3 linked regions of the Ovis aries genome follow. The protein of the gene in region 1 purifies or fractionates together with the protein of each later gene. This does not show direct contact. Links are inferred from orthologs where the notes say so. Each region holds a gene or a part of one and is shown in the gene's direction. Other genes may lie near its edges.

Evidence for each region. Proteins that work in one complex are often made in the same cells at the same time.
Region 2: the proteins of DDX39A (region 1) and API5 fractionate together in Homo sapiens (co-fractionation; 3 studies listed by BioGRID, with this or other methods). This does not show direct contact. The link is inferred for Ovis aries from reciprocal best matches to the Homo sapiens genes DDX39A and API5.
Region 3: the proteins of DDX39A (region 1) and THOC1 purify together in Homo sapiens (affinity purification with mass spectrometry; 3 studies listed by BioGRID and IntAct, with this or other methods). This does not show direct contact. The link is inferred for Ovis aries from reciprocal best matches to the Homo sapiens genes DDX39A and THOC1.

What each region holds. Positions count from the first base shown.
Region 1 is NC_056058.1:9,662,442-9,668,872, forward strand, and holds the start of DDX39A (ATP-dependent RNA helicase DDX39A), read left to right. Parts: upstream 1-2,271; 5' UTR 2,272-2,380; exon of another isoform or gene 2,381-4,555; intron 4,556-6,328; exon of another isoform or gene 6,329-6,331; 5' UTR 6,332-6,332; coding exon 6,333-6,431. UniProt on the Homo sapiens protein: Helicase that plays an essential role in mRNA export and is involved in multiple steps in RNA metabolism including alternative splicing. Regulates nuclear mRNA export to the cytoplasm through association with ECD.
Region 2 is NC_056068.1:72,367,888-72,373,771, forward strand, and holds part of API5 (apoptosis inhibitor 5), read left to right. Parts: intron 1-147; coding exon 148-204; intron 205-1,071; exon of another isoform or gene 1,072-1,915; coding exon 1,916-1,992; exon of another isoform or gene 1,993-2,505; coding exon 2,506-2,642; exon of another isoform or gene 2,643-3,210; intron 3,211-5,884. UniProt on the Homo sapiens protein: Antiapoptotic factor that may have a role in protein assembly. Negatively regulates ACIN1. By binding to ACIN1, it suppresses ACIN1 cleavage from CASP3 and ACIN1-mediated DNA fragmentation. Also known to efficiently suppress E2F1-induced apoptosis.
Region 3 is NC_056076.1:35,653,204-35,659,087, reverse strand, and holds part of THOC1 (THO complex subunit 1), read left to right. Parts: intron 1-2,489; coding exon 2,490-2,608; intron 2,609-3,048; coding exon 3,049-3,097; intron 3,098-3,508; coding exon 3,509-3,604; intron 3,605-5,884. UniProt on the Homo sapiens protein: Component of the THO subcomplex of the TREX complex which is thought to couple mRNA transcription, processing and nuclear export, and which specifically associates with spliced mRNA and not with unspliced pre-mRNA.

The sequences.
Region 1 (6,431 bases):
GAGACTGTGCTCCGCAGCAAGAGGAGCCAATGAAACGAGAAGCCCTCTCATCGCTACCAGAGAGCAGTCCCTGCTTGCCACAACTACGTTGCCCAGACAGCAACGTAGACCCTGCACAGTCAATAATAAATAAATCAATAAAATTGTAATTATTATTATTTTTTAAAGACAGGATCAGTAGTTCTGAACGTTTCCTTTTGCCTCAGGTGCCAATATGGCTTGACGTAGCACTGTTACTGGCCCCGTCTTTACTTAAAATTTTGATATTTTGCTCATCAGATATTTTAGAGAGATTTTAAGCATTAATTTCAATTTTAAAATACTGCATTCAAATATTATTTATCTTGATGACTCAGTTTTTTAAGATTAAAAAAATTATTTTTTTATTTTTGGCTCTGCTGGGTCTTTGTTGCTATGAGTGGGCTCTCTCTAGTTGCGGAGAGCAGGGGCTACTCTCCGCTGTGCGTGTTTCTCGTTGCAGTGGCTTCTCTTGTTGTGGAGCACGGGCTCCAGGTGCACGGGGTTCAGTAGTTGCAGCACTCAGCCTCGGTAGTTGTGGCTCTCAGGCTTAGTTGCTGCACTGCATGTGGGATCTTCTCGGACCAGGGATGGAACCCACGTCCCCTACATTGCAAGGCAGATTCTTAACTACTGAACTACCAGAGAAGTCTCATGAGTTTTTTGCTTTGGTGTTTGGTACCCCCCTTTAGGTTTGCATGCCTCACCCTCATTCTGGCCCCACTTCCCCACTTCCGGATATAGAGGAAGTGCTCTATAAGTGTTCTGATGTAATTATTACATACAATATCTACCTTATGTCATGTAAAGCCTCCCTCTGGATTGACTGGTTTCTCTTCATTGGGCTTTTTGACTGAAGTTATACCTGTGATGACTTTAGCTCTGAATTTGTCTCAGACACGGACCCTGCGATAGCTTTATACTAAATGAAAACAGAAATGCCTGAACCTCTTTGGAAAACTGTGGACAAAGATTTAATTGTGTCAAGGGTTTAGGGAGACTGGAAAGCTGGAGCAGGCTTATGGAGTTTGCCCTACTTACTTTCCTTCCTCCTTCCCACCCCCCAAATCTCCTATAGCTGAGAAAAGACTGACACTACCAGGTATGGCAAGAATTAAGAATCACTGGAACTTTCACAGGGTGCTAGTGAGAATGTAAAGTGGAAAAACCACTTAGAAAACTGTCAGGATCTACTAAAGCTAAACACTCACATGACCTTCCACTCACCATTTCACTCCCAGCTATTTGCCCTAGAGAGGTAAATTCGTTTTCACAAAAATGTTTGTATATGATTTATTAGTAACGGCCAAACACTGGAGAAAAAATGTCTATAAGTGAATGGAGAAACTACATTGGCTATATTGTGGAATAGCCACACAGTGGAATACCGCTGGTGCTGCTAAGTCGCTTCAGTCCTGTCCTACTCTGTGCGACCCCATAGACGGCAGCCTACCAGGCTCCTCCGTCCATGGGATTTTCCAGGCAACAGTACTGGAGTGGGGTGGCATCGCCTTCTCCGAGTGGAATACTACTCAGGAGTAAAAAAGAAGGAATATTGCTATGTATAGCAATGTGGAAAATCTCCAAACATTTTGTTGAGCAGAAGCCAGACACAAAAGACAATCTTCTGCATGATTCTGTTTGTATGAAATTCAAGAACAGACAAGATTATAGTGATAGAAATAAACATAGTGGTTGCCTGGTTGGGGCAGGAGGGAGGAAAGGGGTGTGGCTGACTTGAGAGGAACACAACAGAACTTTCTGTGGTGACGGAAATGTTCTATAACTGCACTGGGCAATTGTCACTCGGGTATCAATCATCAGAACTCATGGGAACGCTCAACTCAGGGCAGGATAAAAAGGCTGGTATCATTCCAAGCTCCCTAGCCTTCTCAGAACCCTTTCAGAACCTCTACACTGCAGGACCACTTCAAAAATTTCTTTCCTCAGCGTAGAGACCATATTTCCTAAGGGCGAGACACTCACCCTGGGCTCACATCACGGCTTCGGTTGCCCGTACTAAATATGGTGGCACACGAGCCGGTTACAACCTCGACCACGTGACGGTACGCTCGCAGACGCCCGCTTCGGTCAGCCCACTCCGGCGCCTACTTTTTGATTGACCAATGAATCGGAGGTATGAGGCACGCCCTTTTCCCCCCTCGACCAATAGCCTCCAGACGCCTTCCGCAGAATCCAATCATCGCTTCCGCCTCTCTTGAATGAAAAGCGAGCGGTCCAGTGAGCTGAGCCGCAGTCGGACCCAGGAGGCAGGAAGCGCAACAGCGCGTGTCGGGGCGCGAGAACGGTAACCGGAGCCGGGTGCTCTCTTCGCAGCACGGGGAAGCGAACGAGGAATCAGGTGAGCGGCTGGCCCAGGCGCGGGGCCGCGGTGCGGAGACGTCGGATCGGCGGGCGAGCGGGAGATAGGAGACGCCAGGAGTTGAGGGAAGGAGACCGGGCGCGAGACAAGGGGAGGCGGGGCGGTTGGGGTGGCCGGAGCGCGCGTTGGCGGCCGTTGGGCGTTAGGGCGCATGCGCGAGGGGCAGACCGGCCGTTGGCGCGCGGGTACGGGTCCGCTTCCGGGAGGGGCTGTCATGGCCGCCTGCAGGCTAAACCCCACCTTGGGGCAGAGTCTGCCTGTTCTTGGAAGCCCGAGACGGTTTGGGGAGGGGTCAGGAGGCGACGCGGGGGTCTGGGGCCGCGGAGCGCGAAGCCGGAGCTGGTAGACGTGGCGATCTTCAAGATCGAAAGACTCTTCCTCCGTTCTTGCTTTGTGTTTCGGGGGAGTGGATTCGTGGTTCCAGAGATGTAGGGCAAAAAGTGATGTTCCAGTAAGGAACAAAGTCTTAAATGAAAATTCTCTTGGGGGGCACTTCAGGGTGACAAGGGTACGCGAAAGGCTCTGAGTTGTTACTTAGTCGTCTGTCAGCTTTCAAGTTGATCAGCTCTTGGGGCCTCTGCCACCTTTTCTGGGTGGAGCAAACAGCGCCAAATCCTGTCCTGATCTAATTTGTTTTGATTTTTAGGTTCTGTCTAGCCAGTCCCTAGAAATTTTTGTGTGTCAAGCTTAGTCTGTCATTAAATTTGTCTCCCCATTAAAACAAAAAGAGTTTCTTCGAACTCTTCTCTTATTTTTTGGAATGCTCATCTCTTTCCGGATTTTAAGCCCAGAGTAGACGACGCTGCGTCTTTAATGTCGAAGGCTCCCCCAGGGTTTGGTCTTTCCCTGTAGGGTGATCCAACCTCTTTTCCCTCTCTAACAATGCTCCCACCGTGGTTAACCCTCTTTGATTTGGTGTCTGGTTTTCCCTGCTGCTGGTCCCTTAACTTATTCCATCTTCTCTGGAGTAACTTGGTCTTGAGCAAATCCTGATTGAGTCACAACTGAAAACCTAATCAGCGATTTCTTATTGTTCAGCGAATTAAGTATGAATGCTCTGGGCCTAACCAGCTTGGTTTTCTGCCTCTTGCTTCAAGCAGCCAGTTCTTTCCAACCCCTGAAAGGGTTTAGACTAGTGGTTTCTGGACCGCCGTTTGCTGGTGCCTTTTCTTCTCTTTGATGCTTGAAGTGAGCGTTCCTGTTTTCACCAGTAGGAATCCTCAGTACTTGTATCGGATTGCCTCTTTCAAGAATCCCATAAGGATACTTGCTTAGCCCCTAAACTCTGCCTTGAGGCCCCGATTCTGATTCCATTCATTCAGCCATTTGCTCTTGAGTGCTTGCTTGTTATGTACTAGGTGCTGTTCTGGGTGCTGGGCTGGCGTGACTGGAGGGGGTGTTTTTTAAGTTGGACCCAACTTTGGAATATGCCATTTTGGAACAACAGAACAGCTTCCCTGATGTTCAGTGGGTAAAGAATCTGCCTGCATTGCAGGAGACATAGAGATGGGGGCTTGATCCATGGGTCAGGAACATCCCCTGGAGGAGAAAATGGCAACCCACTCCAGTATTTTTGCCTGAAAAATCCTAAGAACAGAGGAGCCTGGTGGGCCACAGTCCATGGTGTCAATAAGAGTTGGAGACGACAGAGTGACTAAACACAATGGAAAACGCCTTTTTGAAACAACAGAGGTCTGAAAAAAGTGGGAAAAGCAAGTTGAAAGGTGCTGAGGCATGTTTGAGGCTCAGAAGCAAGGCCTGTGTGTAAGGGTGACGGGGGTGACAAACTGAGTATAGAGGGGGTCAGGTTGTGCTGGGCTTGATAGGCTGTGGTGAAGACTCTGTTGTACTCTGAACACAGTGGGATCCTGTGGAGGGCGTTGAGCAGAGGAGCGGCTTTCTCTGACTTAGCTTTTTTAGGCTCCCTCCAGCAGCTGAGGGGCATTGAGGGGGGAGTGGGAGATGGAAAGCAAGGAGCCCAACAAGGTGGCTTTTGGCATAATCCAGGCAAGAGGTGACAGTGCCTAAGTGGCTATCAGCTGACAATGGCTAAAACGAACTGAAGTATTCCAGTAAAAAGGAATATTCATCAGCCACAAAAAGGAATGGTGTACTGATACATGGCCACACTGTAGAGGAACCTTGAAAAATTATGTGAGTAACAGAAGTCAGACTGTCACATGTTGTATGATTCCATTATATGAAATGTTCCAGGTAGGCAGATTCACAAAAAAGATTAGTGGTTGCCAAAGTAAGTTGGGGGGGCACAGGATGGTAGCCTAAGGATTCAGTCTTACTGACATGAGGAAATGTATGCTAAAGATGACTGTGCAGCAGTTGAAAGTATTTACGACTGCACAAGAAACCAATAAAATGTGCCTTTTCAACAGTGCCTTGTATGGCATGTGAATGTCTCCATAAAGCTGCTCTATAAAAAGAAAGGTGATGGTGGCCTGAGAGCCAGTGACGTAGCAGGGGTGAGAAGTGGCCTGATTGACCTGCTTGGCTTTATTGGCTGTGGGACAGGAAAAGAGAAAAGAGAACAGTTCAGAGAACGGAGTTGCCTTTTCTCAGATGCGGGTTGAGGGGAGAGGTTGTCCATAGAAAGGCCGCAAGGAGGTAGTTAAGGCCCTGGGGCTGCATACTCACAGAGGATGAGTGGCAAAAGGGCCACAAATTGGGCCTGGGACCATCAAGATCCATCTCAGGAAGAGGGACTCTTTTTAGCACTTCCACCCCTTCACTGGGCTTCCCTGAGGGCTGAATGGTAAAGAACCCACCTCCCAATGCGGGAGATGTGGGTTCAGTCCCCGGGTCGGGAAGATCCCCTGGAGGAGGGCATGGCAACCCACTCTAGTATTCTTGCCTGGAAAATCCCATGGACAGAGAAACCTGGCCAGCTAGAGTTCATGTGGTTACAAAGAGAAACGACTTAGCAACTAAATGACAGCAACAACCACCCCCTTGACTGGAGGCTGGGGTGCAACAGGGAGGACAAAAGTATCCTCATGTTTGGGACCCTTGTAGCCTGCACCCACTAGGTGCTCTGTGTGTCTGAATTAAATGAAGCCAGGAAGTGATCGCACTTTGTATTAATTCTTTTTACCATCTTGGCTGTATTCTTACTGGCTCCAGGCCCAATGGGAGGTCTTTTCATGAGAGCACTTAATTATTCCCTTGTGCAAACCACAAATAGCAGGAGCAGCTGGGGCTGGGTAGACACTGGCGAGCTCACAAGCTCCCATCTCTCCAGCATCCTGGCAGTTGCATCTCCAGGCTCAGGGTGGGGTCCTTGGGGAGTGAAGGGGGAGGGGAGTCCTTGAGACTAGGTGGTCTGAGGCTATTCAGTAGAGCTGAGACCTTGAAGCTGAGAAGGAGGCATTTATTTGTTCAGAGACCAGAAGTAATGCAGCAGAGTCATGCCTGTGGGGCTGGGTGACCTGAGTGGGGGTTAGAGGCTCAGTGAGTATCAGCAGCCAAATGAGGCTGGGGTGGCATGGAATGGGGTGGGCAGGGGCCAGTGAGGGAGGTTGCAAGTGGAAAGGAATTGGGGTTTCACTTGATACACCTGTGGTTGTGTCCTGAAGGGTCCCAGGGAGAGGTGAGGCAGCTCAGTGGAGGGTGGTGGAGAGGTGGGCACAACAGTTGGAAGCTGGGAAGTGCCACATAGCTGGAGTAGTGGGACCTGCTGTTGGAGTCAGTGGCGGAGGTGAGTTAGAGAGAGATGGGAGAATGAGGTCCAGTCTTGGCTTCAGTGGCCAGGCGGCCAGACCTGACCCCAGGACCTCACCCGCCTCAGACTTGTGTCAGCAGCTCGCAGCTTCTGTGCAGCCGGCTCCCTCTTCCCCCTCACTCTGGGAATTTTCCTGCCTGCGTCAGTCACCGTTGTTGCTTCTCTGAGCCCTGTTCCCCCTCTTCTGTTCTCAGTAGCATGGCGGAACAGGATGTGGAAAACGAGCTTCTGGATTATGAGGAAGATGAAGAGCCCCAGGCACCTCCAGAGAGCGCTCCACCTCCCCCCAAGAAAGAC
Region 2 (5,884 bases), on another chromosome or scaffold:
ATAAGCATTATCTGTAGATATAAGCCAATTAATTTCCTAACTGTAGAAATGATTCTGAAAAAGAAGTGGAGTTCAAGTTTTATATGGGAAAGTAATATATCATAAAAGTTACTGGCATTTTAATTTAATGTTGTTTTCCTTTTACAGAACAAGATTAAAGTCGTTGCATTGAAAATAACAAATAATATTAATGTTTTAATCAAGGTAAGTCTTCCTTTCTTACTCAGCCATCCCAACTAGCTAGAAAGTTAGTGCAAGGGATATGTCCGTAATGGTCTAGTGAAGGAGAAATGCCATTACATTGCATACATTTGGCCTTTTAAAGCTTTATGCTTTTTATAATACCAGGTAACACTTTTGTAGCTATTATAATTCATTGTTTTATTTATTTAAATGTTATTGCAGAAGATACTGTAAACAAAGGGAGGCATGCACAGTTCTGACAAACAGCGTTGGAGCAGATACATTAGACTCAGAAATTTCACTGACTTAAGCTCTTGTAGTTTTAACGCTATTGGTTCCTTTTGAATGACCAATAAAACCCTGCTTCACTTTTACTAAGAATGGACAGTCTTATGTGGTGCATGACATGTCCTATGCTCTTTTCTGTTAATTTCTCTATGTAATAAATTGAGAGTGTTCTATACTGTAGGCTAAGGTGTACCTTACCATTAAACCATAAATACGGTTCAGTTCCATTTATCCTCCTCAAGTATCTGTTAGCCTAAACAAAAACTAATAACCTGAAAGAACAAAAGAGCAATCACAACAAAGAGCCCATCATTTGATATCATAAGTTAACGGTATTGTCACAGTTAACAGTATTGTAGCCAGGTGGGAGAAAGAAATATTTGTCACACAGCACAAAGCCTGACAGGAACAAAATCAGGGCTAGTGGTATGTCTTAAAAGTAGTCTGGTAAAAATCCCATGGAATACTTACTTTTTATCAGAAGAGAAAGGGAACTTTTCAGAGAAAGCAGTGAGACATTAAGGGATGAATTATCAGTGCCAAGAGGAAAAGGGAAAGGGCATTAAGAGGGAAGAAAACTGACTCACACCTCAAAGAAAATTTTTATAATAGGCTCCATTTATTTCAAATCTTAAATATAAATCATAGTTTGAAATGGTGAATTAATACATTAAAATGTGAGATTTTACTTTATTTGAACTGATACCATAAATCAAAGTTGAAGATAATGTTTAGAATAAGCAAATACTGTGAAAGAAACTCAGTTTACTTTTATCAGATTTTACCTATATATAAAAATTAGGGTAAAACGATAAATATAAATTCATCATAGTTTTGAGGGTATAATGAGGACTAGATTACTTCACTTCTGAATTATTTCAGTATTTAAATTTAGCAAATATTTGCATTGCCATATATTGATAATTTAGTATTTAAATAATGTGGAATTTTTCATTATTGGTAATATATAGATATTTGAGGGGAAGAAAAACATGATTACCCAGACCATTGGTTTTGTTCTAGTATTGAACCACTTAAAAATCTGCAATAGCAAATGCAGATTGCACCATTATATTTTCCTTAAAGCACCTTAGTGACTGCATCTGTGCAAAAGAAACCACTTGATGATTTTATTGAAGTTGATAAAAATTGATATTTTGTCCTGTAACCTGAAACGACATTTGAAAAAAGTTAGCTGCACTTTCTTAAGTGATATGCACAAAATAACATTAATTAGGTAATGTATGTCATTTGCAAACCAAATTGTCCTTGTTTACTTTCTCATGCAGTTTTCCCTAGGTTCTTGTTTTAGTCACTAGCACAAAAGCAAGTGGATAAGTTACTCTCCTTCTAAGATTAAAGATGTGTCTTCCCATTTCCTATCTTTACTGCCACTTGCCACACCACCAAATACTTCAGAAATCTCTTCATTTTGTTTCTTCAGGATCTCTTCCATATTCCTCCTTCTTATAAGAGCACAGTAACATTATCCTGGAAGCCTGTACAGAAGGTTGAACTTGGGTAAGAAACATATTTAAAAGGGATTAAAGTGTTCTAATTTGATTTATAAATATGAAAAGTCTGAATTCAGATTATTGCATTTCCTGTACAAAATGGTACATTATTAAATGAGTCTTAATAAGATGTTAAAATATAGCTATTAGAAGCATGACTTACATAGAAAATCTAATCTAGTGTTTATAAAATAAACTGGTGGAATACAACTCTGGAATTTTCAAACCATTGTTTGTATTGCTGTGGCATAAGACTTTTTTGGTAAGTTCTATGAAATGAGTCACTTGTGTATAATCTATGAAGCTACATAGTTCACATTGTTTTAGAGCCTTGTAAATGCCCTTGTGACAATGTCTGCATAACCGAAGCAGAGTTAATTTGATGACATCAGATGTTATTTCCTTTTTTCTGATGTGATTATCATCTTTAGGGTGTCTTTTGTGACTAATATGATAAATTTATTGCTAGCCTCTGATATAAAAGAATTTTTTTTCATTGCTGCTCTTCCTACCGTTATAGGCAAAAGAGAGCCAGTGAAGATACAACTTCAGGTTCACCTCCCAAGAAATCTTCAGCAGGACCAAAAAGGGATGCCAGGCAGATTTATAATCCTCCTAGTGGGAAATATAGCAGCAATTTGAGCAACTTTAATTATGGTGAGCGTTTCCGTTTGGGTACAAGAAATATGAGAGATTAGGCAGAAACTGTGTTATACTTGATTTTAAATAATAATTGAAGAGTATCATAGCTCTTTCAGGTTACTTTTTTTGCGTTAGCGTGGGGAACTTGAACTGCTGGGAAAACAACTTATCCTATTCCTTTCTAAGTCACCCTTGTGGGTTCACTGACCTGAGCATGTAACACTAAGAACCTGAAAAATAAGCCTGTTGTATTCAGAGATGCCAACAGAAAAAAAAAAAGGAAGGAAGATGACATGAACCATCCATTCCTGATTGTCCCTGTTTTAGCTTCAAAGCAAGAAGGGTTGTCCATTCTCCCTCAGGAACAGATACAGCCTCTGGCAGATGTGGTATTAACGATCCTTCTTGGGCCTCGTCAGCCTCCTGCTTGTCCTCCGGTTGTCTGTGCTCCTTCAGGAGGAGAAGCCTGGAAGGCAGAGGCAGGCGGGAAAGCACCGGCTGGCAAAGATGCGTCCTCTTGCATTCTCCTCCATGCCCAGTGCAGTCCTCTTGTCGACTTCCACTAGTCCAGTCTCGCTCAGGCCTGTTGAATCAGAAGTGAAGTTTGTCTCATTGGCTTATAAAGAAGAATGGACATAAATATCACTGACTCAGATCCCTAATCTTGCTGAAGAAGACAAAGTTTAATATCTAGAACCAAACATACTTGTGATTGGTCTTGATTACCAATCAGAATTAATTCTACAGTAATTATTCCCCCAAAAAAGTACATTCTGAAGCATATACTCCCTATAATTGTTTCCAGGATGAGATGATTTGACATTAAGTAAATGCCTTCTATAATAGCAAAATTCCTCCAATATCCAAGCAAAAAGATTATGAAAAGGCAATTTCAGATTGTGAAATGAACCCTTAAACTCCAGTCAGACTCCTTGAGGCAACTTTAGTGTAGAAAAGATCACTGAACTCTTTTACTTATATAATAATAGGTAAACATGCCTCTCTTGGCTTCTTGTTTTATCTGAAAAATAGGGATAGCAGAGAACTTAAAAACTTCAAAAAATATTTATGATAGCATTTTGTAAATGGAAAAGATTCTGTTACTCCATTCACTAAATATTGTCTGTCCTCTGTCACTTGTATGATCTAATGTGGTACTTATCAAAACCTTTAACATACATCAGCTGTTCTCTCAGATACCATCTTCATTTGATTTAGATGAATGTAGTCAACTATGGAAATACATAGAGAATTATATTTATTTTCACTTAGGCAAGTCAATTACTCTGAATTTCCATGAGTATTCTGCCCTGTGACATTCATTGCCTGCCTTAGAATCAGATGATGTAATGCATGTGGAAAACAGATGTGAAAAATGCAAAGCCTTAGGTTGTGTGTGATTTTTTAAATTATCAATACAGAGGGGGGAAGCAGTTTTACCGAAGACAAAAATCAGGGAATTTCCTGGCCATCCTGTGGTTAGAATTTCGACCTCACCCTGAGGGCCTGGGGTTCAATCCCTGGTCAGGGAACTAAGATCCCATAAGCCACACGGCAAGGCTAAGGGAGAAATCCAGGAGTCCCTTACAGCTTCAGTTGTTCCTTAGTCAGCAAAGTAACAGAACGACAAACACGCCTGATAACTGCCTTTTGTGTCTGGTGTTCCTGTACTTCAGTAGTCCTACAGGAGCAACCTTGTAATTGGAGTGCTTGTCATAAATTGAGTTACAAAGCAAACTAGACTCTGATTGTTCTTTTTGGAAAGTAGGAACAAAATTTCTACTAGTATTTTTATTTGGGGGAGTTGAGATGTATCAGGTTATAAGTATTCTCATAGAAACAATTTGAAGAGTTTTCTTGGATTTCTTTCACCCATTCAGCTGAAAACAGTTCTCAGTATTACAGATGAAAATTAGTTGACCTATCTACCTCAAATTTTTCTACCTTTTAATGTCCTTTCCTTAGGGAACTGACAGTGGGTCAGGAGGAAAGAGAAACAGTGTTGGATTTTTTTTCCTGGGGTGTCAGTGTTGCCTCAAGACAGAGGGAGAAAAATGTTTTGTGTTTAGTCTTTAATACTTAGACTTTATTACCCATATTTAATCATTGAAATTCTACTTTCTATGTCAGCCAAACTCAATTTTATCATATCACTGTCTTACTACAGTGACCAAGTCTGCTGCAAAGAAAATAGATTGTGCCAGTGACTTGGGCCTAAACTAGTTTTATGCACAGAGGGAGCCAGAATTTGTAATTTGTCTGTGAGTCCATGTAGGCATAGTTAGACTTTTTTCCTTATCAAGGTTTTTCACTTTACTAACCATCATCTCTATTATTTGCTTTATCAAAAAGTGTTTGTTCCCATAACTTGGTCCAGCTTCCTGGTGCATTTTCAATCAAAGTATTTGCACATACCCATGTTTAGCTTTCCTTCCTGTAGAACAAGAGTTCCCTGGTAACCCACAAGTACTAATTCTATATTTTGTGACTTGTGTCCTTCAACTTTTACCTTTTTTGAATATTAAAGTAATTTTTTAAGTATAATTTTAGCTAGTAGCAGTATTAGTTTAAGCTTGAAACCATTAAAAAGATCATTAAAGTGATTTTTTTAATGTAATAGCTCATGCTGGTTTCATTTAAATAGTTGGCATACCAGTCAGTTTAGAAAAATTTATCATGACGTGAGAGGTGACTTTGAATCAGATTCCATTCTGTTGACAGGTAAATGTTGGTTAAGCTGGGGAAAGGTCTAGTTAGTTTTCTAACTCAGTTTCTGGAGGGAAAAAAATAAAGCATCACCCAAAAACAGTAACATAATTCTAGCCATAATGGCAAAAAGTGGATTGCAGTACTGACTGGATAGGAATTTTCAAGCCTCCAACATTATGGATCAGAAATGGCAACAGCAGGTTCTTCTTATTGCTCCTAACAAGATTCCTGCAGTGAGGAAGTTTGAAGGTTCCAATGAGGAGATTGGATCTCTGGAATTAGAAGTTTGAGACTCTTACTCATTTGTGTATGATGAAAGGTCCAGCCTTGCTGATACCATCAATCAGTTTTCTTCACTGGAAAGACTCCTTTGAGGAATATTTCTCTGGACCAGTGAAACAGACTGATAAGTAAACCAAGGACTTATTCTATCATATGATCCAAGGGACTTGATTTTTTAGCAAGAGATATGCTTAATTTACATCAATAACCCAAACACTGTAATATATACATACAGCCTTTTTGGCAGCACTCTGAGCAGCTCATAC
Region 3 (5,884 bases), on another chromosome or scaffold:
ATGCCATCCTACCATCTCATCCTCTGGTATCCCGTTCTCCTTCTGCCCTCAATCTTGCCCACCATCAGGGTCTTTTCCAATGGCTCAGTTCTTCACATGAGGTGGCCAAAGTACTGGAGCTTCAGCTTCAGCATCAGTCCTTCCAGTGAATGTTCAGGACTGATTTCCTTTAGGATGGACTGGTTGGATCTCCTTACAGTCCAACGGACTCTCAAGAGTCTTCTCCAACACCACAGTTCAAAAGCATCAGTTCTTCAGTGCTCAGCTTTCTTTATGGACTCTCACATCCATACATGACTACTGAAAAAACCATAGCTTTGACTAGACAGACGTTTGTTGGCAAATGCTTGAAGTTATACAAAGTCTGTGTTTAAAACTTTTACTTTATTTGGGAAAGATATGGACTTAACTCAGTTAAGCCATGAATAAAAATTTAAATACCTTTTTATTTTAATTTGATGGGAAAAATTTCTTCTTGAAACCAATATTATTGTTTATTATGTGACAGATTTTCTAATTGTCCATAAACATGCTTTGTTAAACTCAACTTGGCAGATACTTATTGAGCTTCTGTTGTGTCAGACTCTCCACTGGTGAAAACCTTCAAAAATGCCTACCTTTAAAAAGCTCATAGTCTACATAATAATAATAAACAGTTTGGATATGATAAGTACTATAATTTATGTGCAGTGGCTTTCAGAAGCAGAGATGTGGTAGTCTACACAGAAGTACCAGAAGAGTATTTTAGATGCAGTATGTACTATATGCTTTGAAAGACTGAGTAGGAATTTACCATGTGATAGAGAGGAAGAAGCCTATTTAGGCAGAAAACATCGTAAACAAAACCATGCAGGCTTGAACGTAGCAAGGTGTTTGGGAACTCAGGAGGGGTATCTGTGGCCAAGGTTAAGATGAAGCTCAGAGGGCAGCATAGAGGCTGGGACACGGGTTGTGATAGTTTTGGGGAATCGTGTGATAACCCAGCTCATCAGAATCACCAGTGAAGCTCCATTTTCAAATTAATTGCCAGGCTTTCACTCAGTTTTACTGAATCTTTGAGAGTGGAATCTAGGTAATTTTCTTAAGTTCTGTAATTAAATGTGTGTGATTTTGCCAAATTATACTTCAGCTAAGGGCAGGGAGTATGTCTCTCTAATCTCTTGGATAAACAGGACACAAAGTATCACAAATCTAAGTGTTGAAGGACTTTGGAGGTCATCTGGTTCAGTCTTGTCTCTGGCCTGTCCTGTCTCCCCTCAGTAACTGAAGCTCACCGTTTGATTTCTCTTAGCTGGTTCTGATGATCAGATTTCCTTTGCATTGAGTTGAACTTTGCTGCTTTATGTCTCACTAGTTCTAGGCAGTATCCCTCATATTACATTCCAGCTGTGATCTTTCCAGTGCAGTGCAGAGCTGGAAATACTACTTCCTGTTTATGAACTACTGTGTTAATGCAGTATTAGGGGCTAATAATGCCCCTAGATACTTTTTTTACATATCATGCTGAAGTGGCTACTTTTCCTAAACTCGTAACAGGTATTAGTATCTATTACCGAAAAATAGAAGGAAGAATGAGTAGGGAAATAAAAGCATTTTTAACTAGCCTAGATGACCTTAAAGTCTTTAGTTTATTGCTTTAGTAAGATTGAATTTAGACATAGCTTTCTATTTTACCAATTTTTTCTTTGAAACAACAGTATATTTTAAAAGTATAGTAAGAACTGAAATTAGTATCAAACTTTTTTGTGATCTTTTTTGAACTAGATCTTTTCAAATGACAAAGACAATTTAAATTTAGCATTATTACAGAACATTTGGAAATGGGAAAATACTAGTTCCAGTTCTGCTACTTCAAAAAACTACTATTTATTTTGGTATATGATTTTAGCTTCTCTAGGCTTTTTAATAGATTTTATTGTTATAACCATAATACCCATACAGTTTTGAACCCTGCCTTTTTCACTTGACATTAAATCATAAGCATTTTCCAAGTTATTATAGTCAATCATAACCGTCATTTTTAATTGGCTGCATTATATTCTTTCGAATAGCTTAGTGGTGAAGAAAACAGACTGTGAAGCCAGACTGCCTGGGTTCATATCCCAGCTCTACTGCTTACTGGCTCTGTGATCTTGGGCAACTCATTTAACTTCTCTGTGTCTCAGTTTTCCCATTCTGTAAACTGGAGAGAATATTCTCTCCCTCATAGGGTTATGAGGATTACGTGTGTTAGTGTATGTGAAGCACTTGGTGTGCCTGACATATACTAAATGCTCTAGAAGGGTTATCAAGGATGACACATACCGAAACTTAAATACACTTAAGTATATCTTCCTTGGGGACTTTTAGGTTGCTTCTGTTTCTTGCTTTTCACAGCCTTGTTAGGATGGACAAAGTGTACCTTTAAGATTATCTTCAGAATTTTTTGCATGAGCTCTTTTACTCAGCCGTATTGTAAACTTTTAAATTGGCTTGTGCTCCACTTGAAGGTATTTGTACGGCATCTACACCTTTTGTATTGTTGGGAGATGTTTTGGACTGTCTTCCTTTGGATCAGTGTGACACAATATTCACTTTTGTGGAAAGAAATGTTGCTACCTGGAAATCAGTAAGTGCCTTAGTTTCTTTTTCTGCTGTCTTTAGCTTTCTATAGATCCAGAGTTCTGAGGGTAGTTTGTTTTGTTTGTGGCTTTTATTTCTGACTTTGCTGATTGCTAAAAAGTTTACCTTTATGAGAGTTATGTGTTCTGCTTTCTTGGAAAAGCCAAGTAAGAGTCACATGGAGATAAAAATGACAGTACAAAATTTGAGTAGAAACAGTTACCTGGAAAACACACACTTTTACATGTTTTAAAAGTTACTTAGAATCGTCTTTGTTATATGTTTGAAAATATTTCATTAAAAATGTTATTTGCTTGGAAGAATTGAAAGCGGCATAGTAGATTCAGCACATATTAGTGTTCTTTAAAATCTTACTTCCTGTGACTTACTATTGAAGAATGTGCAACAACTTCAGAACAATAATAGTAATTTCTGTCTTAATTTCAGAATACATTCTATTCTGCTGGGAAAAATTATTTACTACGTATGTGCAATGGTAAGTAACTGAGCAGTAAATGATTGGTTTTTAAGAAGGAAATATGGTCAGGAAACCAGGTGGTTGCATTAAACACAAGAGATTAAATTTTTTTTAAGTAGATTGTATCTTCATTTTAAAATAGCAATCTGATTTATTAAAACTGATCATTTGCTTTAAATTTATCTATTCCTGTTCTAGGTATAAACTTAATAAAAACCAAAAAGTTGAGTTAAGTTTATCTTGTCCATGTTAAACTCATTTTATTTTTAATTTTCTAGTCCTTTTTTTGTGACAAAAAATAGTTTCTACCCCCATTTTGAGAACTACTGCTTTAGGAAAATACTTTTGAACTGGTTAAGACACTTGGGTATATTGTAATAAATATAGAATGATCTCTGCTGTGTAACCTTTGTTTCCATTTGTTGTTAGATCTCCTACGAAGATTATCAAAATCCCAGAATACAGTCTTCTGTGGACGAATTCAACTCTTTTTGGCCAGGCTTTTCCCTTTATCTGAGAAATCAGGTGAGCTTTTGTAAATAAATTGCTTTGCAGGAAAATTTTTACCTGTTTTTCATGGACTAGAATATACCATGATGATTTAAAAAAAAAAAAAGGTTCTAAAAAGTTGAGAGATAGCATAGGAAATTGTCACTTGATTTTCGTTTACTTGTAAATAGTTGTACCTATTCCAGTGCATAATACAGGTAACACTCAAATAAAGCCATTGATTCTTCAAGTTCAAAGCTTATTAATAATAATGTACAGTTGAATCACACTGAAATATGTAGACATGAATCATGTTTTTATTTTTTGCTTCCGTTTTCTTCTTCAGTCACTGTTTAGCCACAGTTACTTTTGTTCATTTATCATTGTGAAATATAACAGTAATATGAAAAGTGCATGAAGTAAGTGTATAGTATAATAATTATAAAGCATATAGTTGCATTACCACTGGTCAGGTCCAAAAGTGAAGCATGACAGTTCTCTCGAGCCCTCCACAGTCTGTTCGGATATGCCAGATTTTAACTGTCTATTCGCCTCAGTCACCCCTTCCTTAATATCAGGCTAATCTACCACCTGCTTCCCATGTTGTAAGGATTAAATGAGTTAAAACATGTGACGAGCTTACAGCAGTGCCTGCTTGTGGTAAGACCTATAGTTTGTGTTAGCAGTGGCAAAATTACCTGTGACTTTCTTTTTGTCCTGCTGTGTCTCTGCTTTTTTTCTTTCCTCTTATTTAAATGTGGTCAGGATTAATTTCAATTTACCAGTGTATTCACAACTTGTATTTCTGATCCTCTGTCTGTGACTATTTTCCCCTTTAGACTTTTCTTTAGTGCAAATTTTGTTCTGTCTGAAAATCTTTTTCTTTACGAAGAATGGTTGAAGATTAGATAGAATGGTTGAAGTAGGTTGGCACTGGATATAGGATTTCATTTAGTGGAAGGTCATCATTTCTTTGCCTTTGTCTTCTAGAGAGGAGTCAGATCTCAGTCTAACTCCTTTGAAGATAATCTAGTTTTGTTTTTTTCTCTGTTTGCTCTTGAAGTTTTCTTTTGCTTTGAGTTTTTGTTTGTTCTTTTGTTTGTGGGGTTTTTGGTTTTTCAGTTTTCTATAATGTATCCAAGCATGGATTTTTAAAATTTATCATTCTTCAGATTTGTGGGCATCTTGAGTTTGTGCATTGGTTGTCCTTCATCCACTTTGTAAAAATTTAAGCTGATGTTTCTTCAGATATTGTGTATGCTGCTTTCTCTTTATGGAACTCTAGTTAACATTCTATACCTTGTCTGTCTCTTACACTTTCTGCATTTTTCATCTGTCTCTCTTTCCATCACATTCTTTTCTTTTTTTTTTTTTAATTTTATTTTTTTATTTGGCTGCTCTGGGTCATAGTTGTAGCATGTGGGATCTAGCTCCCTGACCAGGGATCGAACCTGGGCCCCCTGCACTGGGAGCTCAGAGTCTTAGCCACTGGACCACCAGGGAAGTCCCATTTCCATCACATTCTGCGTGATTTCTTTGGAAATGTTTTCTAGTTTACTACTCTGTTCATCTATGAATAATCTGCTGCAAAATGAGTTCTTAATTTCCGTAATTGTATATTTCATTTCTAAAAAGTCTTTTTTTAAGTCTGTGTGTCACTTTTTAGTTTCTTATTCCCTGTTTTCAAGCTTGTTTTTTAGTTGTCTAACCAGGGTAGGCACTGTTACCTTTATCTATATGTCTGATAATGCCAGTGTCTTAAGTCCTTGCGGCTGTTCGTCACTCACACTTGTGCCTGTTTCTCACTCATGATGTCTTATCTCTTTGTGTGTTTCTGGTTAGCGTTTGATGTTATGTTTGAGAAGATATTTGAAGGAATAATTCGGAGGCCTGGGTTAGATACTTTTCTCCAGAAAACGGCTTTTGTGATCTGCCAGGCACCTTAGAAGGTACTACGACTAGTGTAAGCTTACCTTCATCTAGCCCAGCTCAAGCTCTGTGATTGCTTAGGTCATTGAGAAGGCTTGGCACTGGGCTGCAGTTTGGTTCATCCCTACCCGAGGACGTAACCCCGTACGTCCCAGCCCAGAAGATGGTTGGGGTAGGATTTGTTAGATTCCACACCTTCCTTGGACTCAGATTTATTTTTAACATCCTCACTTCAGGAAGCTGCTAAAAGAGTGGCTCAGTTTTGCAACGGATTCTTCCTGTTTGACAGACAGAAGTGGCTTTGAGTGCTGACGCTGCATTGCTTATCTTTCTTGCCTTCTTGGTTTTTGCCATATATTCCTCACTGAACGTTAGCTCTTTACAGTT